2 linked regions of the Lepisosteus oculatus genome follow. The protein of the gene in region 1 purifies or fractionates together with the protein of each later gene. This does not show direct contact. Links are inferred from orthologs where the notes say so. Each region holds a gene or a part of one and is shown on either strand. Other genes may lie near its edges.

Region 1 (16,094 bases):
GACGCCTTTGTAGGATAAATGTTCCCCAAGAGTTTATAAGGCCGAGTTCTAAGGTCATATGATTTTGGAAGTTTAAAATATAATGTATAAATGTCGGTCACTTCAGGAGATCTAAGGTTCTGTGTTCCCTTGTACATGTTGACGTTTCTAACAGAACTAATGGTGTAATTAGTGGCGAAAGTACTGCAAACCACAAGTACTCGAGAAAGGTTACAAATGAGAAGATCCTTCTAGTCGCTTATCAATCCAAGAATCTCAGCCGTGTGTTTCCTGAACGACCTGGACAAACTGGCCTCAGCAGCACAGACGGACAGTCTTTATCCACCAGTCCTTTCTGTAATGCGTTCTGTATTAAATCATGTCTCACAGGCATTTGGTTCATTTTGTGTTCTGTGTTTCTTGCAGCTCGCGGGATTGTTGGTGGGCATCAGCAGCGCCTACCTCCTCGTCAGGTATAAATACTGCTCGCTGTTCTTCCAGGATGTCTTCCCCACCATCCTCTTCCCCACCATCCTGGCCATCCTGGCTGCCAGTTTTCTGGTCCTCTCTGGAGTTGTTGGCTGCAGGGTGTCCAGCAAGGACTCCCCATGTCTCCAGGGTATCGTAAGTACAAGCCTGGAACGCCGTGCCTCATGATGTTAGACTGGGAGACAAGGGGGCCAAGCTCTTCACACCCATGTGTGTGCATCGGTCTGTGACTTCACATCTGTCTAGACTTTATATTTTATTCCAGTCCTGAACACATAGACTGAAGACCCTTTAAGGGCATGTTAAGTTATATTAAATGTCAGAAAAACCCTGAAGAGAAAAAACTGGAATGTGTCGGTTAGTATTAAGCATATTTATTCAGACCTCTGATCTCGGTATTTGGTGGAAGCACCTTTTGGCAGCATTTACTGTCATAAGTCTTTTTCAGTACGTCTACCAACTTGGCACACTGGCTTGGTGTAATGCTGCCAGTTCTTTGTTCAGGCCGTGTCAAGTGGCTTGGGGATCGCTTATGGGTGTTCTTGCGTCTCCCGTATGCCTTATCAGTGAAGTAGTTGCTCATCTTTCTTGTCGGAGCTTCCATGAGAGACACTGATACAACTTGATTTTGCTCTCATTTTGCTTTGTCTTTCTCTGGCCCTGCAGTTTGTGTACTTCCTCATCATCGTTTTCTGCCTGGTGGCGACAACAGCGGCTTTCGCCTACTCCAAGTCAGGGCAGGTACAGTAGCTGGAGCTTTCATTGTTTTTTTTTTAATATATGTTCCTGATGTCACCATGTCAATTAGGGAGGGTGAAAAAGTGGGGAACTGGCGGAGATGTTGGGTGACGGGGCAGTGGGGTTAAGGAGACAAATACCCCTGATTCTCTCTGTTAAAGTGATGCTGGACCAATCTTACAACAGCACACACTGTGGCCTTTCATGCTGCACCAGTAGTAGGGGAATCCCTTCCCCAAAAGATTCACTTTAATCGCCAGCACACGTCTCTTGCTACAGCCAGATCCTTAATGAAGTGATTAGCAAGCAGGATCTAAAATATGAAGGTGCCTATACCTGTATGTACTGCGCATTAACCTTTGTATATTAGAATGTAACATTTGTACTTGTATATTAAGACAAGATGTTGGCTGGCAGCAGCGGCAGTCTGAACAGGCTGTGGCGTGTGACTCTGGAAGGTTTTGAAATGGGTTTACAGCAGCACCAGTCCTTTGCCATTCTTGCTTGTTCCAGTACTTGAAGGTCAGGAAGCACAGACGAGTGACCTCTCTTCCTGGACCTCCTCTAGGTTGATTCAGAGCTGGCTCCTCTCCAGAGTGTCTTTGAGAGCTACAACGGCAGCAGCCAAGACCCTGCTGACCATGCTGTGGATTCACTCCAGAAGGAGGTAGTCATTGGGTGGGAGCTGTTTATTTTAGAGCTCACTTCCTTTATTTGTGGCCAAATTACTTGTTTTTCACAACCACGATAGAGTAACAATCTAAAGACTTTTCCCTACCTCACACAAACACCCCTCCGTGTTCCTGCTAGAGGGAGCCTAAAATACAGACAGATGGCTACAGTGGGAACCCCCTGCAACAGGGCTTTGACTGCTGTAGCAGCCCTCAACAGTCTGGTTTGTAAATGTGCAGTTTCATCATACAGCATCATGTTGGATTGCAACAGGTTACATTTTTATCATACTTGAATATTCAATGTATTCCATGTAGTCAGAATGTGCTCATCAGGATGCACAGATGCTGTTTGCTGCTTTCAGTGCAGTGTAGGGGAGTGGTGTCCTTGCACGGGACTGGACCTTGTTCTGAGCTGCCTGTAGGCTAGTCCAGTATTTGCAGGGCTGGTTCCAGTTAAAAGGTGCGGCGAGCGGAGCAGACGCTAACGCCCGGCCGCGCTCTGTCTGCAGCTGCGCTGCTGCGGGGTGCGGGGATTCCAGGACTGGCTGGCGACTCCCTGGTTTAACCACAGCGGCTCCCTTCAGGTTCCTCTGAGCTGCTGCAACTCCACCTCCCACAACTGCAGCGGCAGCGTCCACCAGCCGGAGCTCCTGTACCCCCAGGTACTGCCCCCTGCGGGACCCGGGAGACCCCGGGACTCTGCTGGGGTAATCTTTGACTAATTATCCAGCGCAAGGGGAGTGTGCGCTAGGGGCTCCTGTTTCGATGTCCTGTGAGCTGCCTGTATTGATACCACCGCATCCCACTACATTCTCACTTGGTTTACTGTGGGGGAGCTCTAGCTCTGTTAGCACTGCTACACATGTCAAACTACTTGTCATTCTTATGAGATGACCATCAAAGATCCAAGATTATGATTTGAAAATGCTTTGACACAGTTAATTGTGCAAAACAAGTGTTATTTGGCAGTTGTAGCTCCAGTTCATTTATTCTTGATTAATAAATCTACTTTAAAACTGATCTGACAGAAGGATTTATAGCTTTGTAGTTCAGTAGCAGGAATCGCCAAACCAGATCCATTCCAGCTGGAAAAGGTAACCATTAAAAGATATAGAACAATTTCTAGTTGGTTAAACTAAATAATTAAAACTAATGATTTAGAGATGATTGAAAACAAAAATCTGAATATCTTTCAGCCCTGGAGGGACTAGAGTTCCCTTGAGTTTTTATTATTTGACCATTAATTTGCAAATGTCCCCAGTCATGTGAAATGGGAGCTTTATAGTAACCTATAAATTGTATTGGATTGGGGCTCTGCTGGACCAAGGCTAAAGACTCTTGTTCTTTCCTGTTTTTTCAGGGTTGCCAGGAGAAACTTAAAGATGCTTTGACCTTTATTCTGCAAGTAACCCTCATCTCTGCTGCTGTGATAGCTATAATTCAGGTCAGTACTAATGAAACTTAAGGAGTGCAGTGCAAAACTATATGAATTCTTGTAGCATCCCAATGTTGTCTAGTTCAGGATTTTCTAACACGAAGCCTAAAGGGCTTCTGAAATTCCAGGTTCCCGTTCTTTCTGTCACATCTAGAATACTCACATGTCCTACCTGGTTTAAGAATTTAGAACTTGACTATTAAAACTGTGTAGATATTTAACAAGCAGTAAGGTATGTATCTAGAATGGTTAAGTGGTGTCCATTTACATTATCTTCTAGATTGATTTCTGAGATCATTTTTGCTATTATAATGTTTAAAAGCGTCACCAAGTGAACCTTTCTTGTTTAGCCACTTTGACCTGGTGTGTTTGGGATGCTGTATTTGCATTGTTTTAGCTGTATAAAATGAAAGCCCGTCTCGGCTAGCATGAGAGAAATGAAGCCGCAGTTTCAGTATTAATTAACTCTTTGTAAAGTATTTCAAGCCTACAGTACTTTTGACTTTTGCCACAGCCCTCATTAAGACAAGCAAACTGAATTTATATGGATGTCCTAACAATTCAAATTCCCTTGTACTAAAGATCCTGAAACAAAGTCTCATCTGCTATCAAAACTGAAGAAATTCAGTTCTTTTAACCTCGTATGATGCTCCATTTTGGTCTGGTTTCTGCTTCTTAAGCTCTTTTTGGGGCATTTATGTCCTTTTTATAGTGTTGCAACCAACACTATACATACTGAGGTCAATGCAGTATACACAGCTCTACACTATGTACCCTAACATGACTGACTTTATTTATACTCTCTGCCCAGCTCTTTCCAAACACCTTCGACTGCTCCTTTATAAATGTCTTTCAGGTGTGGCAGATTGCTGTGTTAGGGGGTGCAATGACAGTGCAAGGCCACTAGAGGAGGCCATTGAGACAGGATGTGTATGTAAATAGCATACAAGTATGCAGTTGTTCACTGGGTGTATTAAGGTGTTGCAGTGTGAGACTTCAGACTGGAATAGTGTAGGCTGGAGAAGTGGTGGTAGCTTTTCTCCAGATTAGCCTCGAGATCAAAATCCTGGAACTGTCCTGTATTTTGGATTTACAGTACTTCTTTGTTAGGAGTTTTTATCTGCAAAGACACCTGAACTCTGCTACCTCATCTGGGGACCTCAAAGGATATATCCATTGTTAACAAACTCCTCTATTCAAATTCTGGTTTTTGGCCTTCTTGAATGTCCTAGGTTGGGTTATTGCAGCTCTACATGCTACCCTCCCTGCAGCTGCAGTCTGCCCTCTGCTGTTCTCGCCATGAACCCACTCTCTCATTTCTCTCGCGCAGCTCCTGTATTGGACTTCTCTTTGGCTCGCTGCTTCTGGACACATCCAGTGCAAGACTGTTGTTCTGTCATATTGCTACCTGTCTCCATCACTCTGCATTTACTGCTGCTGGTCCTCGCAGCTCATCAGACTTATTTTTGCCATAGTGTTGTTTAGTGTTTCAGTAGGTTCTGAGGTGGCCCTCCTCTGGTTTTCTCTGAGTTTGCTTGGTTAGATCATTTTGCATGTTGCATTACATAACTGGACACATCGCCTGTGACGTTAGTGTTTCACTGTCCAAATTTCAGATATTTCATTAATCCCTCCTTGAATGAAGGCACCAGCAGGAGGGGAAGAAAACATCCCTCTACGATCCCCGGTTAACACTGCCTTCTGTATTGGCAGGTGATGGCTCTTGCCAGCGTGGTCCAGCTGATGAAGGAATACCCACTGCAAGAGTATCGGATCCTGGACCGAGACCCTTCCTCCTAGAGCAAGAACAGCCACCAGCAGCTCCGAATGTCCACAGGATCTCTGCTCTTCCATCACACCTGAGCTCTGACCCTTGTTTTTCACGGACGTTCTCCTAGCAAGCCATGTGAGGGCTTTGGCAGAGTGGATCTCCAGGACTGGGACTGGCCTGTACCCTGCAGAACCATGCAACACGCAGAGAACAGCATCACACCGGACAAAAAGATGTTGGTATATTTAATTTACTACAGGTTTATTTTGATCTGTGGATTTAAAAAAATCTCACCCATAATGAGATTTACAGAAAAACTTACTATGTACAGAATGGTCTTTTGCTACAGAGGTCAATGTGGATCTTTCTGTACAGCCCCACTGGTGGAGGGGGTGACCAGTTGATAACGGCGTTTGATGGCTGTTATTTAAAAGTGCATTAGAAGTGATGGTCAGGCACCTTTCTTTCTGCCATGTGTAGTGTACTTCTAGCATTTCGCCTCGGTCACAAAAGGAAAACACTTGTAGCACTGAAGAGGAGCTCACCTGTTTCAGCATGCTGCCTGGTTCCCAGTAATCAGAATTAATTGGTATGTGGATTGTGGTTTTTAAAATCTAATGGAGAATTTAATAAAAGGTCCCAGAGAAAGGCATGTGTAGCACTTTGCTGCTTGTTGTAAAGGTATTTTGTAATTATGACAGCCTGTTAACCTTTTCTCAAACTTCTAGGTCTCCTTAAGTAATATTTTTTTTTCTCGGGTTTTAAGTACACTAAGCTGCTGCATAAAATTGCATGACTGTGTTCCATTTGTGGTTGCAGTGTTAGCTGTAGGACAGTGTCTTCTTACTTGCTTCCTCCTGGAATAAACTCAACATGCTGTGCATAAATAATCGGGCATTACAGTAGTTGGAGTATTTAGTCGGATTCCTACCTTCCTAAGGAGGGTGGCTTGTTATTGCTTTCAGAAAAGGAAATTCTCTGCTCAGGGATGTTAGAGAAGTTGAAAGCAGTACTAATACTGGTTTGACTTGATTACCTTGGAAAGGGTTTATCTGATGGACCAAGTGTATAGCTTTCAGAGGGAGAAGTGGAACCCTTAGGTTCACGCTGTACTTGCAGGAGAGATTTCTCCAGAAAATAAATGAGGTTTGTGTTTTCCAGAAATGAGATGACGGCTACTAAAGCCGTTCAGTCCCAGTCCCAGCATTATCGAACGCCACGGTTTTTCTGGGACTTGTGGGTCGTCTTGAATGTTCTTGTTTCATTATTTTTTTTTCTTTATTTTCAGATAGGAAATTGCATTGTAACCCTTTTGCCGAATTGTTGAATGAGTACTTGTATTTTCCTGATGAAAGGGTAATGCTTGCGGAAAAATGCACTTTTTGGCACTTAATTAAAGTTATCTAATCCAGTACTAAAGGCACAGAATTTGCAATGTGTTCCTGCTTTTATTTTCTAAAAATGTTAAATTTGTTGCAGATCCTTGAGAAGGCAATGTTGTACTGGAAGGGCCTTAAGTAAGTCCCTGTAACTGTTGCTTCATTTATTAGTCAGCCAGGGCACCTAACCGTTAGATCCAATCAATACATCAATCTGTTTTCAAACCGTTAAGCCCCTCACACACACTCACACACTTGCACCAGGGCCAATTTTGTACAGGAGCCTGTTAACCTACCAGCATAGCTATGGACTGGAGGGGACCTGGATGAAAATCACTCGGCCAGGGGAAGATCATGGAGATGACGCAGGAATTGTACCCAGGGCCCCAGCACTGTGAGGCAGCAACGCTGGCCACCGCACCACTGAGCTGCCCTCCAATCAAAAAGGTGTAAAACAGCAACTCGCAAACCTACAAGACAGCAGTGTGATGGGTGCAGTACTGAATCCCAGCTGGGATTCAATCACTATTGCTCAGAGACCAGGTCTGCAGCAGTGGGAGAACTCCTATGTTTCCAGGAATAAATGTTTAGTTTGGTAACATGGTCACTGTCACTGAGTGCTGCTTATCAGCATCATGGAGATAACATGCAGAAACAAATACAGCGTGTGCAGATGAGTCATCGCAGTGCCCATCTATCAGAAAGGGTAACTGTATTTGAGAAAACAGCTTTTCATCCCAAAGGATCCCCAAAGCACATTACACAGAAGAAGGGACACAGTCCACTGCTGAAGTGCACCACCTGCCGCTGCATGGCCAGAGCTAGAGTAGGAGCGGAAAGACTGCTGTGATCCGGGTCCGAGGGAATGTGGGAGGGTGTGCAGGGAGGATCAGGGATTGGGGGCAGGAGAGAGCAGCAGGCAGAGGAGGGAGCAGAGAACTGGATGCAAACAGCAATAAGGAGCCAGTGCAGGGATTTAGGCCAGCAAAGAGACTTACAGTAGTGTGATTGGAAGAGACCCTGGAGCCCAGAGCTGAGCATTTTGCTGAGGAATAGGAAAGAAAGTGTTGGGAACAGGAGAGGAAGGAGTCAAGGATGATCTGTGTTTTCTGTTGGTGCCCGAGTAGGAGAGGGTATAAGGTTCAAATAGAATAGAGATACGACAGTTGGCAGGAGAGGAGTAAAAGAGGATCAGTTGAGAGAAGCTGACCTTAAGGTGGTATGAAACCTTCCAGGAGGAGATGCAGAAGGGGCTACTGGACTCTGAAGGTGGGAAAGAGAGGAAGATCAGGCTTCGTTGTCAGTACTGCCATGAAGAGGGTAGGACCACCAGGGTGCGGGTGCTGGCGAGAGAACAGGTGGGGTCTCGGCACTCTTGTGCAGAGGGGTCGAGGGGCAGGAGCCCGTAGGCAGGAGCAACTACAGAGGCGCCAGGACAACAAGCTGAGAACCACGCCGGAGGTTTCCACATCGGACAGGAACGAAAAAAGAAAGAACGCTCCCTAGCAAGTGAACTGCCAGTCTGGACGTGGTGTTTCATTCCTCCTGGTAGGAAATCTGAAGTATCCCGAGTGTGTTGCCTCGAGCAGGCTGAGCTGGAGGCACAGAAACCGGTTTGGAAACCAGAGGGGTCACGGTAAAGCAATTTGATTACAGCCGTTATGAACCAAAGCGTATGACACACCTTGTAAAGCGGAAGTAACAGCATGGCTTCATTTTATTTTTACATTTTTGTGACGCCTTTTGTCTGTGAATATGGTTGAGCTCAAAATGATATAACAGCCATGAGACGGGAGTGCGGATACTCCAATACAGAACGCTTTTTCTGCAACACTCTGGAAAAGAAATACAGTTCTCTTGTCAATACTAACTACTTCTGTATAACTTCTTCTAATAACGTAATCCATTCCAGGGTCATAGAGGAGCTGAAGCCTGTCTCCAGCAGCAACAGGCACAAGGCAGCGTACACCCTGGACAGGATGCCAGTCCAGCACAAGGCACACACTGGTGCCAGTCTTCCCACATTGGCAAATAACCCACCAGGATGTCTGCACAGTGGGAGGAAACTAGAAATTTCTCCCTAGAAATCAGCTGAGGAAACAGCTGCTACACGGGTATCGGTACTGAAGGAGGCTACACGAAAAATGCAAATTAACTCCAAATACTGAATGTTGATAAAATGACCACTCTTTTTACTGGTATATTTCATTCACAAATGTCTGCTGACAAGATTATCACTGATTTCTTTTTGTGACAGAATAAACTAAGAAGACAATGGTATAACAATTTACCCTCCTACCCCTCACCACCTACTGTACCTAAAGGACACCTTAGCAAGAGCCAGACAATTACAACGGAAGCTGCACAAGAGGGATTTAACAGAGCTGGGTTGCTGTCTGCATGGAGTTTGTATGGTCTCACTATATTGCTATGGGATTCCTGCCACACTCCAAAGACATACTGGTAGGTTAATTGGCTTCTGGGAAAACTCCGTGCATCAGAAATTGAAGCTGGGGCCCCAGCGCTGCGCCACCGAGCTACGACTCCAGATTTATGAATTCCCACGTAACATTAGATTTTCTTTTCTCAGATACGTTGCAAAACTCACCAGCAACGAGGTACTAAGTTTATTTTGAGGCGTGCTTTTTTTGCATCCCGGGGAAAAAAATAAGACAGGTGATCTCATTTGCAAATACAGGGTAGGTTATAACGCATTACAGTATCGCGATTCCCCGTTATAGCCACGGTTTGCAGAGCTGACGGGGAAAAAATCGTTCTCCACTTTTCGTGTCCTTACTGGGAGGCTTCTGACCTTGGACGCAGATACGATAAATCCTGAACGCCCATTATTTGACGATCACTGAAACAGACCCAGCCAACCCTGATGTTAATGTATACGGGCCGCTCCGCAGCTCTGCAACTACATAGAGGGTGAAAAAAAAACAATGTAATCTTAAGTGATTGATGGTACCGTGGGACAATTGCACTAGACGTTATTAGGACAAACAGACCGCTCATCCAATCACAATGCGAGGAAGGCGGGAGCTCCCTGACGTATTTGACCGTGACAAATAAGATAGCCAATATAGGTGCACATCGGGAATGAGTGACAGGGGAATTGTCTAATAGGGGACGACGGGGGGCGGGACGTGCGCAAGTCCAGTCTCTCGCCGGCAGTGGTCGCGGATCCTGGTGTTCATTGTGTCAGGAGGAGCCGTAGCTTCGAAATAACAACGTCGACATCAGAGCCGGGGTCGAGCTCTTTACCATAAAAACAGCGTCGGAGTTACGGTTAAGCAGGTGAGTCGCCTCGAAACGTCCCCACGGCTCGGTGTGTAGAAAATGACGGGGTTATGGATGAAAACGGGGGGTCGCCATGCGGTGACGAGGAGAGGCCTACGTAGGCCCCTCCGAGTAGCCGCCGCCTGCGCGGGGTTTTCAGACCGGGAATGGAAGCAGGCAGAAGGCGCTGTGGATGTAAAGAAACAGCGGGGATTTAGGGCCTGTGAGGAAAGAGGGCATGAGAGACCATTATTTAATTCGCACGTTTTTGTGTTTAACGGTAATTTTCATGTTTTATTTTCTGTTTTGCTTTTACGTTGTGTTGTGTAAGTGCTTGTAAACTCACGCCCCCCCACCATCACAGCCTGCTGCCAGCCTATGCCTGGGAAAAGCAGAATGAGTCTGTGACGAATATCTTAAATTCTCCACGTATATGTTTTTAAAAAAAGGGCTTTGCAACTTGGCTTGGATTAGAAACGACCAGCGCACTAGCCGTAAATACTCACACGTAATGATTTTGTATTTACATTCCGAAAATGTCATTTGCATATCTGTCCATAAGCTGAGGTGCAGAAAAGTCGTATAGAAACTCGTTAAAGTTTTAATGGTCTTTTAATGGTCTTTGGCGAGTATTTTATTAATCATGCAGCTTAGTGTGGAAATAAAACTCGGTTGCATCCCCAGATCTTTGATTTTTACCGAAAGCTAAAAGGCGGCTTTTCTTTCCCTGGTGTCTTTTTTTTCCTGTCCTTGCGCCCAGTTGGGCGGTCTGTTTCAAAATCAGATGCGATGAAGCCGAGAACGGCCTCTTCTGAATAAATTGAAGCCCTTCGCTGCGGTCCCGTAGGCTAGTTGCCGGTGAAGCCGCTAAAATGAAACGCTTAGCTCGTTTGCAGAGTCTGTCGGCGGAGAGTCCTGGACAGATTTCCCCCAGACAGCGTTTGCATGTGTGAGAAGCGGCATTTGTGGCGTGATCACAGTATTGATGCGATGCCGGTGTGCTGTCGCGTCTTTACCAATTAAATACTGTAACTACGTGTACCCTGGTAGTTTGTGTCTTCAGCAGTGCATTGCAGTGTTGAAGAATGTGCGCTCACCTCGGTGGGACTCTGGTCTGTTCACCGTGAATGTGAGATTCCCTGATACCCAGTCGTTTTTCATCCAGGCTCAGGTCTCCCCGAGCACGAATGAGCGTTTATGTTTTTAGTTACTCAACGGGACCTTGTCTTTTTGTAGCTGAGGTCTGTAATCATGGTCCCCCAGGTGTTGATAAAATTGCACGACCAGATTTGCGAGTGTCTCTTGTTTAAGCCAGAAAACGCACCTCAATTTATTCTCGCAATGCTGCCTCCCCTCCAAAAAAAAAGTCTTGGCTTCTATGCTTTTTAAGAGTCTTGCGTGCATATGTGAATGTTTAACATATAAAATCCTTATTTTTTTTAAATATCGTATAGTTTTGAGTTTACTTTTGTTTTATGGTGTAGTGAATTGTGATAAAGTAAAAAACAAAACAGGTTTATAGACCTTTACCAGGGTTGTTTTACAGGTTGGATCTTTATTGATATGCGCTGGGCCCACAGTATTTTTCACATATGTAAAATATCTTCAGTCATAATAATTTAATCAAAACAACTATAGTTGCTATTTGCATGCATCGCAAAGTATGTTGGTTTTGCAGAAAGTAAGATGGAGAAAAACAGTTGTGCCTTTTTTGCAAAAATGTTGGGAATCCACTGCTGAAGCAAGGAGTATAGCCACTGGTTGAAATCTGAAAATGTTAACACAGAAGTCATTTAATAGTATACACATCTGTTTCATGCATTGGGTTTTTGGAATTAAAGCAGTTTAAGAGATTAATAGAGATTGATTGTTTCCCTTTGGTATTTTCACCCTCATTTTATGTTTTACAAATTGTAAGAATCCAAATTGTCTGCCAACATTTCTACAGGTCTCCCATGAAGGGTTTATAGTTAATGTAAAACTAGCTGCATTTCTGTGAAGGGGTATAGTAATAAAATATCTGTAGGCACAATGAAAGTGATGTGTTAAAATACATGCTGAAAAATTGACCATTTTTCTGTTTTTTTTCCCCACAGGTATTTCCTGAAAAGGGCTGACCACCTTCTGTTTTTTTCCCTCCCTTACCCCATTTTTCACAGCATATTTTTATTACTTTATTTTTTGATACCTTCAGATTTGGGATCTGCGAATTGTCTTCATGGCAGTCAGAAGGGGCCACATTAGATACTTAAAAGTGAGTAGCAGATTTGTACACTAAGAAAGTTTGTATAGAACTGTATTGTATTCAGATATAATGCCCTAAATATTTCAGGACATATTTTAACGTGAGTTTTCTATTGCCATTTTTTCTTTCTTATACTATCCTTTTCTTGTAAATTGTATAAAAAATTGTTTACAGTTAAAACTTGACTAACTTGGTGTAGGTGCTGTTAAGCTGAAGAAGGTATGCCTACCTTTGTAGGTTGGCTGAATATTTTATAGACAAGTGTGATGAATTTGGGTTAGCCCCACCCCCCTTTCAAGTTTAAGGTTGTTACTATTTTCCTGCACATCCGGCAGTACAGCAAGCAGGGAACTTGCACTGCATTTCAGTTAGAGCAATTTCAGGCCATTACACTGCAGAGCAAGGATTAACCAGTTTACTGAAAAGTTTTAAAAATCAGTTCTTTAAAGGCATTTTGTGTTCTCCAACCCTTAATTATTAGCTTTAGCAGTTAAGCACTGTATATGGCTTGTTCTTAAAGTTTCATGTCACAACATTTTAACACCAGCTTACATTTCTTTGTAAGTATTGTAAGATATCATGTTTACGAATAATACTATACATAATGGGTTTAGACTGTAGTGAGATAAGTAAGTTTTACTCTGCTGATGTTGTTCAGACCATTGCTGTCTGTGGTTTGAGGAGCCAATTGAGCAAAGCTGCAATCTGTGAGGTTGTGAAGGAATGCCTTGAAGTCAAAGCAGGTGGAAGTGGAAAGTTGTAAAGCTACCCACTTTCGGTACACTTACAATTAAAAAGCTTTGTAACATTAGTGTTAGTAAGCTGTTCCTCGGCTTTATCACATTCCAAAACTGCAGTTTTAATTAAGAAAATCTGAAAAAAATGCAAAGCTGGTAAAGGGGCTGTTCAGCATTTTCGTCACAAAATGTTCTGTGTTCTCAGATGTTTGGCTTTCTGAGAGTGATGTTGCACTGTTTTATCACACTCTCTCACAGTGCACATAAAGAATAAGGAATCTTTTGGTAAAAGACCTGCTATATTACTGTTGTAGTGAAAATATGAATGGTGCTCATTTGGTAGCTAGTTGATCTAAGAATCTCATCCTACCATTTCTTGAAAGGCGTCTAGGTGTTGTCTTCTACAGCAAGGCTGAGTGGCTTGATCTACACTCTCACAACGCTTTACATAAAGAAATTGCTTGAATATTGTGTCAGAATCCCCTGATATAATTATTTTACACAAGGTGTAGCTCATGCACATTTTACGGCAAGTATAGTGTGAAGGAGTAAGGATTTTTTTGTGGTGAGGGAGATACTCTGTAGTGTCCTGAGTGTGCCATCCTTCTGTGGCATGAAATGAGTACACAGATTGAGCTTGATATAAAACTGAGCTGCAGGATATTTGAAGACAAGTAGTGCATGATAATTGTATTGATGGGGAATTGCACTGGTTAGTTTAATATCTAAACCTTTATGACGTAGTGTCCAGAAGCCCTTTAATGTTCCATTAATGACTTATGTCCGAGGGATTTAAAGTCACAGTAACATTTGAAAGTATTGGCAGCATTGTGTAACTTGCTGAAAGTTGATTTTCCTCTAGTTTTCTTTCAGGGTGTGTCATTTTTTTTTAATGCATTTTGGAATCATTCAGCTCACAGTGGTGTTGATCATCGAGGATGTTCATTTAGAAAATCACATTATTGGCCATATGCAATTTCTTGTATTATGAATTTGTCTTTTTGCATGCCCCAACTTGCTCTCCATAAGACACAGCCTGGGGTCAGAGCGCAGGGTCAGCCATTTATACGGCGCCTTGGAGCAGTTGGGGTTAAGGGCCTTGCTCAGGGGGCCAACGGAGGAGGATTTCTCTGCCGGCCGCGGGATTCGAACCGGCAACCTCCCAGCCACAGGCGCAGAGCCACTGCCCCGCCCCCCATTTATCCTGGTCCAGGGCCAGGACTGAAAAGCACTGGCCTGCCCTTAGCGACTCGAGTTCAGTTCGCAAGGCCTTCAGTTGAGTTTCAGCAAGTTCAGTTTGCTGCAGCTGATTCTCCCCAGCAGCTCCGGGGCTTGGACATAATGAAAGAGCCTTCTCTAGTAACTGCTAAGTATGCAGTGTTGCACAAGAATGACAATAAGGTGTTTGTCAGTGGGGAAACTTGAACATTTTGCAGAAACTTTCTGAATCAGTAGTCTAGTCCTGCAAGCAGCGTCAGCAAACAGAACAATGTCTGCAAAGCAGAAACCCTGATCTTTATGAATGTCCTCATTCTTGCAATCTTAGGTCTGCTGCATATATTTGAAACACAGGGTTTCATTCAGAATTTCGAACAGCTTGCCATTGCACTCTCAATGCAGACGTGAGTCAGGTTGAGAGCATTATAAGATGTATTTTTTTTATTCTAAACATTGACATCATTCATGCAACAAAGCATTAAACATGCCAGCTAGTTTTGGTTCCCTTTGTGAACCCATGCTGAGTACATAGCCTACACCTCTCAAGACTTGTGCCCAGACCACAGTATTGAAGGAAACGTTTTTTTTTGTAAAAAGCGCCTTTTTTATGGTAGCTGCTTACCAGGGGTCAAAAAGGCCTGTTTCCCTTATTTGCTCTCTGGCTTGAGAAAAAGTGCCAGAGAATGGTTTGTGTACCAGGGAATCATAGTTATTGTTTGAACCTTATTTGTAAATACTACGTGCAGGTTTATCAATTGGAATATGATTTTCAGTACAGTGCATCTGTTCAGTGGATATTATGACAGTAGAAATGTTACGTTGTCAGCTGCAGCACAGTTTCTTTCCTTGTTTGTGATGCTATTGAAATATAATTTGTTGTTTATTTTAATCAGAGGCTGTAAGATGATTTTAAAATTGGTGGGGCAAGTCATTATTCTCTCTTGTGAATGCATCCATTCGTACTTATGCACCTAGATAATACCATTATTATTTCAGAAGTGAGCTTATTTTATTCTTAGCAAGTTACCAGTATAGTTTCATTTAGTACAGGTGCTTCTAAGTCATGTTTGTTACACAATGTCTGTTTTCAGCATGAGCATAGCATCAGGGAAGGAGTTGAAGAATTGGGTACCTTTGGTTTTAAGTCGGTGTTCTAGTCAGAGGTGGTCTACCTTAAAAATGTAGCCTAGAATCACTGCTAACAACTAAGCATTGCTTTTCAATTTAATTTGCATTTGTGTCATTTGATAAACTTATTCTTGTTAAGCAGCACTGTTATCTGCTTCATTTTCCAGAGTTACCTGTTAACCTATTAATGAGGGCAGTTTTCTTCATGTTTACCATGTGAGCTTCTGCTTTTTGTACTTCAGTATTCTTGCATTTCATCTTAAGATGTGGTACTTGAATGAAATGACACATTTGATATAATGGAGTAAAAATAGAAATGGGGGAATTACTTGTAAACATCAAAGCAACGTGGTCTGTTACAGCAGATTGTGGTGTATGTTGCATTGGAGGTTTAACTAGTGAAAGATGCGTGAGTATAGTGTCAGCAGTATGGTCATACAATACACCTCTTTTGTATTAACATAACATATAACATGTTTTATTTTATTGCTTTTGGTTGAGCTTTTCTCTTTAAAAGTACTGTTGTTGTTTTTAAAAATGAAATGGTTAGGGGCTGGTTTTCCTTATCTTTATTCACAGTACTCCTGAGCTTGTGCACGGCTTCTAGTGCACTAAAATGTAACCCTTTGCCTTTCACGTTTCTAGGAAGTTTATGACATGTCAAATGGTTACGAAGACCACATGGCAGATGAATCAAAGGATGCCAAAACAAACTTGATCGTCAATTACCTTCCCCAGAACATGACCCAGGATGAGCTGCGTAGCCTTTTCAGCAGCATCGGGGAGGTCGAGTCCGCCAAGCTCATCCGCGACAAAGTGGCAGGTAATCCTCATTAGAGACACGAGCGAGTCCATAATGATAGGGAGGCCTTCCATGGCCATTCAAGATCACCTTGTCAAGCGGTCTTTGAGTGAGTGAGTGTGCCATTAACTTGGCTCATATGTGAGTTAAGTGAAAATCCTACTTTTTTTTTTAGCTCTGTTTTTTCAAGTCCTACTTGAAAAACAAAGTTGTAAAA
Region 2 (16,238 bases), on another chromosome or scaffold:
AGAAACACGCAACCAATAGAGTCAGGATCTTCTCATGAAAGGTTTTGACCGGGATTAAAAAGTTTATTTTCTTATCACCATCAGGGGCGATTTACAATCTTTGTCAACTTTTGCCTTACGTCTTTTACAAAGTACAAGGGAAACTATTCTAAAGCAAGCCCGAGAGCATTATTGAGTAATCGCTGTGTTTTAAGCGCCTGGACTCGGAGGATTAAACACGTCTGCTTGACCGGGACTGAGCAATCACGGGAGGTCTCGGTCCCGGTCCGACCAGACCCTCCTGTCCGCTGGGTTTTGCTGGTTTTAAACTTTGTTTTGGGTTTTGTTTGCGCGTGGTTTTCTCAGACACCCTGATTTCAAACGTATTGTTTCCAACGACTCCAGCTTGCGGGGTCCTAAGACTGTTTCGTGAAGAGTCTCCTGGGTGCTTTCCGTCCGAACAGTTCTCCACACCTAATCGTTTTATCACGAGGAGCCGCGGGTGGGCGTGACACTGGACCAGACACATTTGAACAAATTGTTGTTGTTTTTTCTTCTAACGCATCAGGAATGCGGCGTGTTCTAAGTATCAAATATTGGCTCCACGTTGATACTGATGACAGTGTAATGCAATGTCAGATTATAATTTCGTCTGCCGAGGGGTGCAGGTGAGTCCTCAGCCGATCCGGGGCTGGACGAATCCGGCGTCTGTGAGGCTGATTTTGCCGGTCTGTCTGTCAGTCTGGCGGAAGAGGAGGAGTTGGAGGGGGCTGTAGGCACAGATGAGACGCCGAAACAGGCGAAGGCGGAGGAGGAGGAGGAGGTACTAGGGTGCCGAGACTGTGAGCGAGGAGTGAATTACACGAGAAGGATGAGTAAAGACAAGACGACCCGCGCTGTTCTGGGAGAGAGAAAGGTTTTAAGCAAAGTATCTCGTGTGCGTGGTCTCCACAACCTGGCCTATCGTTGGTTGACCGGAAGGCGGCGAGGTCAGGGGGACAGACGCCCGCTGGCTGCACCGCCCGATCCCTCCACGCGGCGGCAGCACTCGCAAGCGATTGGTTACCGATTGGTTGTCTCCCTCGGTGAAACCTTCTGAGAAGTTCCATTCATAGATCTTCCACGAGGTACTTAAAGTGATTCGGTTTTCGAGAAGTCACCCCGCGTCCCAAACTACCCATTACGGTTAATGGCTAACCCTAACCTGTGCAGTAATACGATTTTCACTGCGTCCCCGGCATTTCAGTATCCAACATATAAGTTCCTCGTTCTGCATCTTCTGTGCTTTTGTTCGCTTAAATCGTCGTCTGCCAACTGTGAATTTACCAGGCTTTACAAACCCTGCACCGTGGTATTTGACAGAGCTTCTCCAATCTTACTGTCAGACTTAAGCATCACTTGGTTTTCGCAGTTGCTGGCTGGCTGTGTAGGGGACCGACCCCCTTCCGTGCACATAAACTGTGGATTTGCCCGTGTCCGTAAGGAAAATAACTTTTAAAAACTCGACAACAGATATGGTCTCGGAGCAATCTTTTTAACTCACCTTTTTGTTGCATTTTCATTTTTTTTCTGCTTTTGTGTTCTCATTTGTTGTCCTGTATAGCGCCTGCAGATGCGAGGCTTGAAATAGCGCTTTCTAAATATTTATTTTTAATTAAAATTTAAATTCACGGCTACATGGGGGAATTGGAAAATCAAGTTCATTTATTGTTTGTAGGGTATTATTAGTATACCCTCTTTTATCATTAAAACGATTTTTTTTTCTTGACGGGTTTTAAACCCATTCTGTTTTTATCTCCGATTTCTTATGTCGTGCACGAGATATGTACATTTCAGTGGAATGCGTGCGCGCGCGCCATACTTCAGGGTGGGTGTTGTGCGCTTGCGCGCGTTCACGGCGGTTTTCAGGAGCAGAATGTGTTGCTGTTTGTTGGGGGGGGGGGGGGCAGGAACTGCATACCATTAAAAAAAAACTTTTATGTGCAATTGTTTTTTAATCGATTTAAATTCTAATATCAACACCCAGCACGTTTTAAGCTTACATAGTGCCCCGTGTCGAGTTCAGAAAGCTTGTTTTTGTCTTGCTCGTAAAAAAAAAAAAGACTCCGCTACAAAATGGTGTCACTTCATTCATCTATAAGAAAAATGAAGGCAATTACATTTTTATTTTATTTTTTTAAATCTTTTGAGAAATTTGATTTAAGGTTTTGAACAGTTGGGCAACAAGACGTCGAGGCACGTGTGTGTGTGTCGAGAATCTAGAAACTTAAGGGAAAAGACCAGCAGGAACATGTAGTTAAGGTTGGTCTGAAAGTCTGACTCCTGTCCGCCTCGGCCGGTGGCTATCCGGACCAGTCCGCTGTCCAGCCGGTGTGTCCGGAGTGAGGAGACCCGCACTGGTCCCGAACCCCCCGGCCAGCGCGCACCCCGGATCGCGAGCCCCGGGCCTACGGGTTCCGGACACCACTCGGCCCTGCAGCATTCCCGGACACCAGTAACATGCTTTCAGGAGCATCCTGCTTCCGTGTTGTGCTTTTCTGATAACTGGCCGCTTGTAGCCCTGCAATGTGAGAAAAAATACTCTATTTGTGCGTGCAACCACATGTAGGAATTGCGTTTTAATTCACGTCTTTTGATTTTATTTTTTAGGCTTTGGTTAACCTGTGTTGTCAAATCGACCGCTGTGGCTGATCAGGTGACGTAATCTTCTTTTTGTCGTCCACATAAGTATCTGCATTCGCAGAAATGATGTACATTTTACTCTGAAGTCCCCTGTTTCTACAAGATGCAGACAAATCTAAGATTTTGTGATTTAGAAAGCAAATGGACACATTGATGTGTTAAATGCATTTTCATTTGTCGTTCGTTTCAGCATTATACAATGAAACTCCCACAATTAAAATCATACAATAGATGTATCTTTTTAAAAAATATATATTGACTTATTAGATTGTATTAAACTATTATAGTACGGAAACAAAATGTTTAAACCCAAATAAAATAAGAAAGTTGCAGGATAAAATCTAAAACAGAAGATTTTTTGTTAAAATCTCACAAAGAAGAGAAGGGATTTTTAGGAATGCTGTTACAGGAATGTGCTGGAAGTCTCAGCATTAATGCAGCTGTCTTAAACATGAAGTATGGAGGGAGAAATAACTCATTTTTAAGACAGTGTTTACATCGTAATTAAAGTTTCTAAACAAAACTAAATTTTATTGAGGCATCTTAAAAAAAAACGAGTGAGATGAACAGTTCTTAAACATGATTTGTTAAGATCATAGATACATGTTACATTTCACACCATATTGGTGGGGAAAAAAAAGGTACTTACCTGCAATCATGTGTGTAGATATTGTGGTGTACGTTTTGTAAAACATGATGGTGGAATTCAGTTCACAAAGGGAAAAACATGCAAAAGCAGGGTCTTAATTGCAAATGAGTGGGAGATGTTCAGATGGAAAAACTGAGCACCTGTGCCTACATTCATTTCTTGAAAAGAGTAAACAGTTATAAAATGAAGTGGATCCAACTAGTCAATACATCCAGAGTGCCTGCAAAGTCAAGATGCCTCATGTTCACGAGAGACGCTTTATATAAGATCATTCTCTCCCATGATACACCAACTTGTTCACCCACACACACGCACACACTCAACACGCCTCCCCGTGCCTGTCGCCTCACTCTTCCTCTGCCTCTCAGTAGCTCACGCTCGGAAAAATAAGATCTCCGGTTCCGGTTCTGCAGACTTGGGGAGGATGTTTGAAGGGTTGGCGAAGAGCAGGATATCGTTAGAATTCATGTTTTATAAATCCCCTCACGACCTCGGAACTTTTGACCAGCGTTGGCGTGTCGAAAACGTCCTGTGTAAGATTGTAAACCGTGATAGATGGATATTCCTAATTATTTTCCTAATTCTTAAGGTAGGGTTCTAGGAATCAAGATCTAAACTCTGGATTTTGTGTTTCTGTCAATAAAGATTGATTGAACCCTCTCTGTCTCAGCAGCTCACCCATCCCCGGACGCAGGAGCAGAGGAAGCAGTCTGCAGACACACTTGTCGCCCGAGCCGATCAAGTGATGTTTCTCCTTACTGTCGGGAGGGGAACCTCATAACGAAAGCTTTTTCCGGGTGTGAGACTATGTAAATCGGTTCTGATGATTTCCCAAGCAGCTCTAAAAGCCACAAACCAATTTTAGTTCCATACTTGTGGCTTCAATATAGCACGTGCATCGGTTTACAGAACGACACCTTCTTGCAGGACCTGACAGCATTGGCGTTTTAAATTTTGCATTCGGGATTAATTAATCTGGATTAAGAGCAGCCTTTAACTGGGAAGATTATTTAATGTTCCTGTTGAGGCAGCAGTCAGGAGCTCACACACTGCTAATCTGGTTTGAAGGCTTGTCACTTAAATGGCTGGGCACTTTGGCATCTTTGAACTGCTTTGAAAAACACAAAGGATCACGCTGTAAAAGTCTGGCAAACTGCCTTGCAAACAAACACACACAAATAAACAAAACATGACTGTTGAGAAATATATGGCAGACTGCTTACTATGTGCAGTTATGTACTCAGACAGAGAGATGAGATAAGAGACGTCTGAACAAAATCAAAAGCTCTTTAAATCTGAAGCTCATGCTCCTTCATAGAACATTGATTGATGTAAAACGTCCTGACAAAAACTGTTTGCTTGTAGGCAACCTGGATATTTCTTTTTCAGGTTAGGTGCAATTCAGAGGTCTTAAAGAGCTACTTAAAAGTCAGCTGTGTCCCTTGTTTGTTTCTACTGGTGACAGTGTCTTATTATTTCATACATGGTTGTATGATTAATGAGAGGTTTTGTGAAGGGGGAATGGATAATGAATTAAATCTGCAAGGACCACATCTTTTCTAAAGATGATCCTACACAAGTAACATGTTAGTAATTATAAGTTAAATCCCTTTTGTGCTGTGGTGTAATTCTGTCTATCACATCCACTGAACTGTTATTCTGCAAGAAAATATATATTTTTCAGTCAGAAATTAAATGCACTGTCTGTTCAACATTAAAAATTAACCAGAAAATAGGTCTCTTTCAGACGTTTTTTTTTTCTGCGTGACCTTCAAGAATTTAAGATCAGACTTTACCAATAGTCAAGTGTTACCTTGAGAAATGAAAGAAACAGCTTTCTCCTGCAGTCAGTCTGCAGACACCTTACAAATGTGAAATTGTTTTCGTTCAGATAAGAATTTGAGAATCTATGTCAATTTCTCCTCAGGTGTGCCATATCTTCAAGACAGCTCCTTTTCATTTTGTTTAACGGTAACAGTGAAGATTTTTAAATGTGATTCTCGCAGCTGAAGACCTGAAGTACTGTACATAATACATTTATGCAAATACAAATATTTGGTTTAATCTTCATTTACATGTATTAGATGAAGTACAGTCCACTGTCCTTAAAAAATAAAAGGAAGTGCCGAAGGTTTTTACTCATTTTAAAAACATCATGAAGCAAAGGAGCAGGAAGTTCCATCAGCATGTTCTACTGCAAACTATTGAACATGCACAGACCTGGGGGTGTGTTTTGGTTGTGCTGGGGCAAATTGAATGCACATGTCAAGTGCTGCTTTGTCCAGTGGTTTTAATGGTAGTTTTGTGAGATCACATGTTTTGAAAATTGCCCATCAGCTAACCATGTTTATGGTTGTTGTTTTTTTTTGCAGACCAATACAATGTCTATAGTGATGGTGCTCTTCAGGCGACACTCAGCATGCCATCTGATTTCAGAGCTTTTATCCTTTTAGGTCCTTGCACTGAAGGGGGTAACCGGATTAAACCCAGGTTGTATGTGAAAAAAAACACCCTCTTCTGCTTCCCTGCCTGCGTGGCTTTCCGACCAAACAGACTGGGATCAGCTTCAGAAAATGTATCGGAAAAGAAACATTGCAGTCCGTCTCGTGGTTGCAATATCGCTGAAGGAGAGTGGACTGCAGGGAGCAGAGTGCCGACCGAATTCTCTTCTTTCTTTTTCATGCAATAATCCTGGGTCCGTTTGCTGTGAAACTTGGCCCGTGCAGAACTGGTTCTGAATTTCAGCCCAGGGCAGCTGCAGTGTGTCCCCCCAGCCCTCCACTGTCCCCCCCCCCCCCCCCCCAGTTTAGGGTTCAGCACAGCGAAGACCACAGCACGTATAAGAAAGCTCAATTACCGATGCCGTGCTGCTTCTATCTTTCAAATACACCTCCATGTTAAAGACCTCCATGTGAAGCAGCCTTCTAACTTCATCCAGTCCCTGTTCACCAAAACACGTTACCATGGTGCCTAGAGCCTGGTGCACGCTAGGATGTTTTGTTCAAACATGAACACAGTTTGTCTCTGCAATCTCCCGCATGATGGGAGAGGGAGTAAGCATAATAAGCTCATTACTTCACACCATACTTTGGTTTTTATTTTTGAAAAGCCACGCCTTACTTCATACGACCTGCAGAGTGAGTGTGTGTGTGTGTGAAACAGAGGAAACGACCATCCTACATCTTAATGACAATAATTAGTCAGAACTAATTGTGTGTTTTAAACTTTCCCTAATTGTAGATTATGTCCCTTTGCACAGCCAGAGTGGATGAATGAGTGTGCAGAGGGGGCATCAGATACCACTGGCTTGGATGAATGGGTGTTGTTAAGGTCTAGTGATGTAATTCATGTACATTTGCACAGTGCTGGTCTACCTTTGCGAAGGAATGTGTGCAGAGATGAACATGAGTCACGGACACCTGTCTTCATCCTCGACGAACAGATTCCAGGTGTATGACGCTGCATGAGGACGGTGTGCTCTGTTGGAAACGTGCTGCTCATCCTGTCTGGGAGCAGGGCAGGTCTGAGATCTTTTCCTGGACTTGGAGATCTTCCAGGGCTGAGGGCCGGGCGGTCAAGACGCTCCGGCTGTGTGTCCAAGCCCTTCCCTGTTCCAGCAGGGCCCTCTCCTCCACCGCGCTGAGCTCGCCTGTTCTGAACGGGATTAGACTTTTTCAGCTTCTCCCCAGTAGTAAGACGCACCTGAGGGACAATAAAATGTGCACACAGATCAACTGATACAGTCTGGGAGAGGCTTGGAAAGGCCCCGAGCAGAAATCAATTATTTATTTGTGCGGTTTTTGTCAAAGGGTGACTTTTAGCACTTTCCACCAGCCCTCCCACCCTCCTAAACCAGTAGCTCTGTTTGCTTTTATAATTAAAAAAATGCGTGAAAGACAGCTTTGGTTAGCATGCTGTTTTTTTGAAAGGCCCGTGAGGCTGTGTGGTCAGCCAGGTAGCGTCCGTCCTGCGCGGACACTCTCCTCTCCGGCAGGGAACAGGAAGGGCCGACTGGAGCCAGCGAGTGACCTGGGGACGAGAGTCCAGCTCTGGCTGGGCTCTTCCAGACAGAGGCCTCTGGCCCCTGCCAGTCTCCCAGCCCGGGCCGCCAACAGGGCTGACGCAGCGGGTCTCTGTCCAGGTGGGCGCTGGTGTTATTCGGCTACTCTCCCACTGGGTCACCTTCATCTTTGACAAATGGGCACTGCATTTCTTTTTAAGCCTCTGTCTCCCTGCTTCACGGGAAGCCCTGAGGTTAATAATAATAATAACAACATCAATTTATTAACCCTCTGCAATTTCTTGCATTAGGAATTTGTCTTTTCACATACCCCAGCTTGCTCTCCCTGAGACATACAGACAGGGAGAGAGAAGTTTGGGGTCAGAGCACAGGGTCAGCAATTATACAGCACCTGGAGCAGTTGGGGTTCAGGGCCTTGCTCAGGGGCCCAACAGAGTTGGAGTCCTCTGGGGGCCACGGGATTTGAACTGGTAACCTTCCAGCCACAGGCACAGATCCTGAGCCACAGAGCCACCTCTCGGCTGAGGGTTCAAGCCAGGGCAGGTGAAACCAGCATCAGTAAGAACGGCCTCATAGCGACAGAGGGGCTGTCTCCTGTCCAGGCTGCAGGAAGAGGGGTACCTGACAGCGCCCACTCTTCCATTCCTTCAGCAGGAAAAATGACGCGGATACAATGAGCACAAAACCGGTAAAGCTTTTCGCTGCAGGGGGGAGATCGTGTATTTCAATTACACTACTTGTGTAGAACAGATCTTTTTCTGATTTGTTCTCATTTATAATGTAATGCAATTAGAAACAGAATATAAAAGACTGCAATATCGTTTGAGATGTTATTGGAAATATTTTTTTTCATGGCATAGATTTTTGCTTTGGCTAAGATGTGTTGATTTCAAACTGTAATTGATTTGCAAAAAATAAAAAGCCACTAAACAAAGTATTACCATTTACATTCCCCCCCAAAGAAAGAAGTTTGGATTTGTGTGTATGTGCCAGTCTCGTTTATTCGCGCAGCTTAACTGCCCCTTAGTGTTTTAGGAAAACACAAGCATTTTAATCAAAAACTGTAAAATGCCCGCAGATAATTATTTTTAGATTATTTTATATCTCGGCTTGATTACAGCTCATAGGTTTAATTGACTGTCAAAAGAAGGCTGGACAACTACTGCAGAATAACTTTAATTTGATCTTTATTTAACCATATGAGCCAATCGAGAACAAATTCGCTTTTGCAACAATGACCCGGAGATTTATTTATAGAGCACGGCGTTTACCGCCGCTATCTGAGCGAACTGTCTTGCTCAAAGTCACAGCAACAGCGGTCCACGTGGGATATGAACCCGCAACCCTCTAGTCCGGAGTCCAGAGGCTGGGGCCCCTATCTGTGACCCAGTAAATTTAATTCAATAAGAGAAAACTCGCTGCGATCTTGCATCATGCAGCTGTCGCAGCCAGCTGAATCTGCCCACAACGCGTGTTACAAGTAACGAACAAGTACCCGTCTGGAATACAGAACTGTTGCAAGAAAAAAAAAAGACAACTCGGACGCGATACGTGTAACTCGATTTCCTCCGTGTGCGTGGAACGCCCCACGCCCCACCTCCACCTCGACCGAATTCACTTGAGCATTCCCGTTTCCCCTGACGTTGATTTTAGGGGGGTGGTCAGACTTTGTGTATATTTATTAAAGATCTCAGTCAGTAAGTGCATTGTGTGCGGGTTTTCGCGTGCTAAAAAGCAGCATGAGGGATCGATTTCAAAGGTTACAAAGAACTAACTTGTGAAAGACGATTTTGTATTTCGACTGGTCACAGTTTCACTACATTTAGGGTGGCCCATGAATTGCGTTTATTTTTCTGTGGGGATAACGCGTTACTCGAAGAACGGTGTTCTCTTTTACACCATATAGGTCTGGTAAATGTTTATTTAAAGGGGGTTGGGAGAAGAGATCCCAACGAAACGTGTTTGTTACAGAGCGCTACAGCCTTTCCGCTCCCGGCGGCAGCTACTGCGCTTGGAGGCCTAGTGCCTGGCAGCACCATTTTGAAACAAGAAACAGAAACCAGGGAGAGAGAGTCGTGCTGCTTGCCGTCCTGTCGTGGTTACACGATACACGCGGGCCTGCAACAGCTCAGTGGATGAGGAGGGCGGCGGCACGGGGGAGGGGGGGCGATTCGGCGCTGTGTTCGCGCGTGCTGCGGGGTGCGGGCGCCGCTTTCCGACTCGCGCTCTGCCCGTCTCCGGGTCTCCAGCCCCGCGTGTAGCCGACACTGGGGGGAGTGGGAGCGGCCCGCCCGCGCAGCGCGCCCCGACCCCCCTCCTCTTCTAGAACGCTTCTAGAATTCGTTTTGCGCCGCGCCTGCCCGGGACGGGCTCGCCAAGGCTCTGTGCCAACGAAATGGCCACCCTCTCGGCTTGGCGTTTCGCAAAACCACCGCCCTTCTCGACGTTGTCTGCTGGGGAACCTCCCGGGCGGCCCGCCTTTATGGTCTATACCGCTCAGGCAGGGACACCAGGCTGACGGGATCACGGGGTCACAATTTACCCCCCAACCGCCTCGCTCGCCGACCTCCCCCCTGTAGATACAATAACCCCAGCGGCAGGGGGCTCGAGCTGGGTGTGCGTGTCCAAGCGACCGAGAGGGCGATTAAATGATTCATTCTAGCGCTGATGAGCGCCCATCGCCATCGCTGGTGCCCCAAAGCGGGTGTGTCGAGCTGACCCGCGATGGCGCGGGGGGGTGTGCACACAGACACCCACTCGCCCGCCGGCGCGACCCCGCGCTCCCCCCTCCCCGTGCTCGCGCCCGCCTCCACAGACGGACACACACCGTGACATGCGCGCGCCCTCGGCAACATCAGCGCAGAGCACGAAGGCCCGGGCTGTCTCGCGCACCCATCCGCGAGGGGCCGGCCCTCGCTCTCGTTACTCCGAGACCACGTGGTTTCCTCTTTGCAAACACACACACACACAAGAAGAAAAAAAAATTGAGGCAATTTTTTTTTTTCAGGTCGGGTTTTAGAGGCGGTGCCACAGCTAGGCAGAAGGATCTGTGACGGTGCGGGGGTATAACTCGAGGTTTAGGGGCAGAGAGAGAGAGAGGAGCAATTTTTCCCCCCTGATCGCGCCATCGCACTGTTACTATCGCTGCTGCCGCCGACAGCACCATCGCCGCCTGTGCAACAATCTTCTCCCCAGTCCAGTTCGCCGAGAGTGCGTGCGATTCACTTGGAGATCCGCGGCGCCGCAGTCTCGACGTCTCCGCTTTCGCTCGGCGAATCCGAATTCGGCAGCTCCCGGTCGCGGCGACCCCACTTCGCCCACAACTTTTTTTTTCTCTCCCACCCATTCACCCCGATTTCTTTTTAATTTTAATTTCGAGGCGCCGTTTTATTTTCTCCTTCGTTCCGAGTAGCCACTCTCCCTCTTCGTCCTTCCGTTTTGTTTTGTTTTTTGGTTCCAATTTTAATTTCGGGTCCTTGGTTTTTTTTGTGGGTTTTTTTTTTTAAAAAAACTATTTCTTTTTTTTTTCTCCTGGGGGACCGGTAACAGTTGTGTTTTTCACCACCATGAACAAGCTGTATATTGGAAATCTGAGTGAAAACGTGACTTCGGAGGACTTGGTGAAAGTCTTTGAGGACTGCAAGATCCCTTTCTCTGGGCAGTTTCTATTGAAAACTGGCTACGCGTTTGTGGACTGTCCAGATGACCACTGGGCGATGAAGGCGATCGAAACGTTCTCTGGTAAGCTCTTTAAAAGTAACGAGCCCTTTCTTTAACCAGAGCGGTGTATTTAAACAATTTACAACGAAGTGTGAGTTTTTTTTTTTGGAGGGGATGTGGATTAAAAAAAAAACGCGTACTCCGTGAATTTCTCTCACTCCAATTTCGGAATCCACTGAGTTTGTTTGCAGAGGAGAGGGGTGTCGGGGGGAGGGGGATTATCTGATTGAAAACCAACAGATTTCGGTCATTCCGTTTAATTCCGTGTGGGAGGTGTTTTAAAACCTGGCCGAAAGATAACTTTTAAACGGGGTGAGTCGAATCGGCAGCAGAGTTTAAAAATGGTCTGTGGCAAACTGGTGCCTTACAAGGTATGTGTCCCAGTGAAACAGGTTGCTATTGATATCTTTTATTATTTAAGGCAGGCATGCCTGGACCTCTTATTTTTAATTTAAAAAAAAACGTTAATTGGGAATCCAGTCCCCGAGAGAACTCCCGAGGGGTGGCATTGCTCTGGTCTGTATATAAGGGTTTAGCTATACGAACACGATCCCCTCCCCCTTTTGTCATGATAGGCCATTATAGATAAGAGGAATTGAATTTGTTTGTACAAAAATAGCCAGTGATTAGGTCAAACATGCCTTATGGATTTAAAGAAGCGAGAGGTGATTCTCGAATAACCGGAGAGAAGGGACCGTTGTACGGTCACAGGCGATAGGCGAATCGTCCGCGAGTTTTTCGGTCCTTCCTTTTTTAAAGAATCAATTTTCCTGATTTTGTACATTACCCCCTATAGCATGTGATGTTCCCTATAGCGCGAAGGTCGCCATGCTGCTTGCGCTTCAGCTATAGTCGCGCTACGAGAACACGGCGGGCGACTGTTTTCCTTCGTCATAGTTAAACGGCTCCACGCCGAGAGAACCGGGGAAACTTGTGACCCCGCAGAAAAGCGGGGTGAAAAAAAGTTAGCAACACCCCAACAAGACAAAAGCTGTAAAAGTTCCCCTAGTCGTGCCGCTGCCCAGTAATTTCTATAACGAAGACCATTACAGCTTGGGGCACGACTACAGAGAGGAAAGGCGCCGTGCAGATGTTTAGGTGTGTTGATATGTCACCTTCCGTGCCTGTAACAATTTTTTTCCCTTACATCGAGTACCCAGTGTATGAAGTTGTACCCTTTTTATTTTTTAAAAAAAAACGTATCTTTGAACTACCACGTCAGGGTTGCGGAACTGGGACCCATTCGGATCTTTCCTCAATTAAAAAAAAAACAAACAACAACTTTCTAACTGCAGCAGCTAGGAAACTCTTTCCATTTTGTGAAAGCCAGCCGTGACGAGACAAGAACGAAAATGCGTTAACATCCCCACAAACAAAAAAAAATCAAACTGCTCGGACGGTACACAGAAGGGGGACGTTAATGCAAACACGACTGTATTTGTTTTTCAGGTAAAGTGGAGTTGCACGGAAAGCGCATGGAAGTCGAACATTCTGTGCCCAAGAAGCAAAGGTACTTCGGGTATTCGAATTATTTGGGGGTGTCGAGTTTTCTTGAGCTCCGGGTGGCCTGGAATGAGTTTTGTGTGGTTGCATTCAGTGGTGTGCAATGAAGAAGGGATCCGATCTCGTAGGGTGACGAATTCCCTCCTCACTGTTAGTTCTCGAATTGGGCCTGTTTTCAAGTCCAACTCCCTCTCCACGCCAAACTTTAATTTAGGCTGGAAAGACTAGTCGTAATTTACCCTCCCTCCCCCCTCCCCATAAAAAAATGACGGATTGCTTTCGATTCGAATCAGAAATACATTTTCACTAAAAGAACACCCTGAAAGTCAATTGCACGAAATTTAGTGTTTGCTAAAATTTCAATTCATTCTCTCGCCATCTTGAAATTCATGCACGTAAAAAGAGGAGAAAATGTCTTTTTTTTTGAGAATCTGGGACTGCTTGCTAGTGAACAGCTCTGATCAGAATGTCTTGGTTGTAGTTGCAGGTTTTGAGTTTAAGGCCTACTGGTCATGAAGGTTAGTGAGGCGGTGTTGTGCTTTTAGTTGTTTTTTTTTTAATTTACCTGGGCTTCGAGAAACCTGGTGTGTTTGCGAACGAAGATTATGCATCTGTAAAATTGGTTACTAAATTATTTCACGCAAATTTGCTAAAGTTTTTTTACATTGAAATGTTTCGCTTTTTTTAAAAAAAAGTATGCATTTGTTTGTTAGGAAATAATTGGCGAGGTTTTATTAATATTAAATACAACTTAACTTCATCACCTAGATACTTGGGGCTGGAAAACGGTAATAAATGTTGTTGGGGAGTATCTTCCGTGCCTTTTGTGTGGAGTAGAAACATTCTTTCAAGCGGTGCCCTTTGTTTTGGCATTGTGCTAGTGAAACGTTAAAATCTTCATCTTGGCTTCTCGGCTACAGTATCTTTCTGTGCATTAACTGCCCCCCTGAACGCAGAAGTCGTCTGTAGGACACTTTCTCAGTTCGAAGACGTTTGCCGTTTTAACAGCTACACATTTTAAAACTCCCCTCTCCAGCTTGTTTTCTGAAAGCGCTTAAACAAAAATAATCGAGGCGCCCAGTACAGTCGCTGGAGTTTGTGTGGATGTGTTGGTTCCGGGGGAGGTGCGCGGTTGGAGTACAAATGTGCAATTCTTGGGTCTGTAAAATACTGAACTGCTCAGTAGAACATAAAGGTGTTCTTCCCCTCTGTCTCCCCAATTTTAAAATGTGTTCAAAACAAGTTTTTACAAAGCTGGCCTCAGCCACTCCCCAGCCCCCAAGCGCATATTTCCCCAAACGTGGGGTGGTGGGGTTAGGGGGGTGACCCACTGGGGATCAGGACCCCTCCTGTCCCTTAGCACGACGTTCTGGTCCGGCCAGGACCACAAGAACCGGACCGCTCGGCCACTGACCGGGCCCATTGTGTGGTTCGAACACACCGAACCAGGCCGCAAGACTGGCGTGGGGGTTCGTGGTGGTTTTGTTTAAATTGTTATTTTTAGAATGTCGTCCCCGGCCTGTTAGCATTTCATTGAACATTTTACCGAACAGAGCGCAAGTTTGTTTTTTTTTTAAAAAAAAAATCAAAATGGAGGCTTTTAGGATAAAAAAGGGAGTTTAATCTTTCTGGATTTAAAATAAAAGCCACGCGGATGGCGTAGTCTGAATCAGACAGGTCTGTTCCGCCTTATTGGGAGAATTATTGTCAGCAGTGGCAATAATCGATTTCTGTATACGCGCTATGGAAACCTGTTTATGATCAGCGAAGAGAAATACGTGTTCGACGTGCAATGTCTTCCTTTTTACATTGATCTGAATTATAGGCCGAAGCGAAAGAGTCCAAAACTTTATTTAAGAGGGAAAAAAAGTAATTTTCCAGCAGCAGCAGAGCAACATGTTTTGCAATTTCAGGCAATAACATTATTATAGCGAGGGGAGTGTGCGCCTTTGCCTTTTCATTCCCTACAAATTTGTAATGTATTTTAATTAATTCCATGCGTCAGTTAAACTATCATTGTGGTGGCTGACGATAAATATGCACGTATTTCATCAAAAGCCTTCAAGGGGTAAAAGAAATGAACCAAATAACAACAACAAAACTTTCAACTTTAATATTTTTTAAAAGAAGGGACAAAAAGATCTTGACTCCAAACACGTGCTTCTCTCGCAGTACAGGGCCCGCTTACGTCACTCGCCACAAAATAATGGCGTCTCTCGGGTCTGGTTTGTAACGACATGGCTACTCCTCTTATAAGGCATATATACGGCGACGTAGATCCCGTGCACCTATCTTAATTCCTGCAGACGAAAAAGTATTTACAACAGAATTGTGAGATTTCACACTCTTCAATTTTAAGGCGACAGTCTGCTTTGTGTGAGGGGAAAACTGTTCTTATGGGCAGTGTATTATTTCAGGAAGATCTTTGAAGCTGTCCCTAGAGGAGTAGTGAAAATAACCTTCCCAGGTCTACAAGACTGCTCGAAAATTTCCTAGGCTTTTTTTTCCCAGTTTGGTTGCAAGATATGGTTTGGGAAAAAAAATATTTTCTTGAAAGTGTTTAAGAAGGCTAATGTTTGTAGGAGGGAGTTTATAAAAAGAGGTTTCCATACACAAATGGCTAAGGAGAGAGAATGCACATGTATATAGGTGATTTAGTACATATTACACAAATAGTTTTTAACAGGCTGATTCACTTTTAGTTCAAACGTGTGATTTGTTTTTGTTTGTGAAGATGGGTGTCATTGCATTGTGGTGAAATTCAGGCAGGGCCTGACTGAGATGCTGGCGTAACACTCGGATCCTATTTGGGATAGGAATGCAGTTGTGAACAGGCCCTGTTTCTTCTGCCATCTCTACATGTGACTTGGTATGTTAGGGCTTTTCATGTTATTAAAGCACTTCCTATACACTTCCTGACAAACTGTGGTGAATTTGCTCTCCTTGGGGGTGAGAAGAATGTGGCCTTTGTCGGTTTTAATCAGGACTTTTTCAAAAGATGGAAATCGTGGTAAAAAACGAGACAAAAGCCGAACGGAAACATTTACGTGAAACGGGTCAGGGTGGCGAAAAATTGGTTTGAATGCTATGTTCCCGTTTGCCTCTTGTTTGGGTAGATCTGTTTGTTGCTGGAGTGTTGGAGGTTCGGTTGTAAAACTATTATCTCGCACAATGGGCCACACATCCTTGTGTCGCCAGGCGGGGCTGCGGGTCATTGTGATGTCACAGAGGGGATTGTGACCTCACACTGGCAGGACAGGATTTGGTGAGTTAGCTTTTGACAAGGAATCCAGTCGAAATGTACCTGCAGACATCTTCCGTCATCAACACCACAAATGTAAATGTCAAGAGGAACTGAAGCCATTTCTGCCTAGCACTTGAAATACCTGTTCTCAACCTATGCTTTATTTTAAAATGCTAACAATATTAATAGAGGTGTCTTAGTCATGCATTGTTTAAGACAGCGGTTCTAAGCTTATAGTTTCATTGATCAAAAGAAGTCACCTTTATTTGATGAGAAATTGGTTGGTGTTTACAGACATCCATGGGTGATCCCTTATGTTAATTTTAGGAAGTTGCCAGGACAGAATAAGCTCACGGTTCTGCTGTAAAGAAAGAACACAGACCCCTAGTCTAGTAAATTTCCAGTGTTTGTGTGTTGTCGGAACAGTGTTAAAACTGATT

The links.
Region 2: the proteins of elavl1a (region 1) and igf2bp1 purify together in Homo sapiens (co-immunoprecipitation; 3 studies listed by BioGRID and IntAct, with this or other methods). This does not show direct contact. The link is inferred for Lepisosteus oculatus from reciprocal best matches to the Homo sapiens genes ELAVL1 and IGF2BP1.

What each region holds. Positions count from the first base shown.
Region 1 is NC_090724.1:1,296,258-1,312,351, forward strand, and holds the start of elavl1a (ELAV-like protein 1a), read left to right. Parts: upstream 1-9,612; 5' UTR 9,613-9,765; intron 9,766-11,843; 5' UTR 11,844-11,965; coding exon 11,966-12,001; intron 12,002-15,720; coding exon 15,721-15,898; intron 15,899-16,094. Other genes in the region: tspan37 (tetraspanin 37), read left to right, coding at 406-603, 1,135-1,209, 1,775-1,873, 2,390-2,542, 3,241-3,324, 5,029-5,115. UniProt on the Homo sapiens protein: RNA-binding protein that binds to the 3'-UTR region of mRNAs and increases their stability.
Region 2 is NC_090723.1:9,502,839-9,519,076, forward strand, and holds the start of igf2bp1 (insulin-like growth factor 2 mRNA-binding protein 1), read left to right. Parts: upstream 1-10,325; 5' UTR 10,326-10,897; coding exon 10,898-11,072; intron 11,073-12,500; coding exon 12,501-12,561; intron 12,562-16,238. UniProt on the Homo sapiens protein: RNA-binding factor that recruits target transcripts to cytoplasmic protein-RNA complexes (mRNPs). This transcript 'caging' into mRNPs allows mRNA transport and transient storage.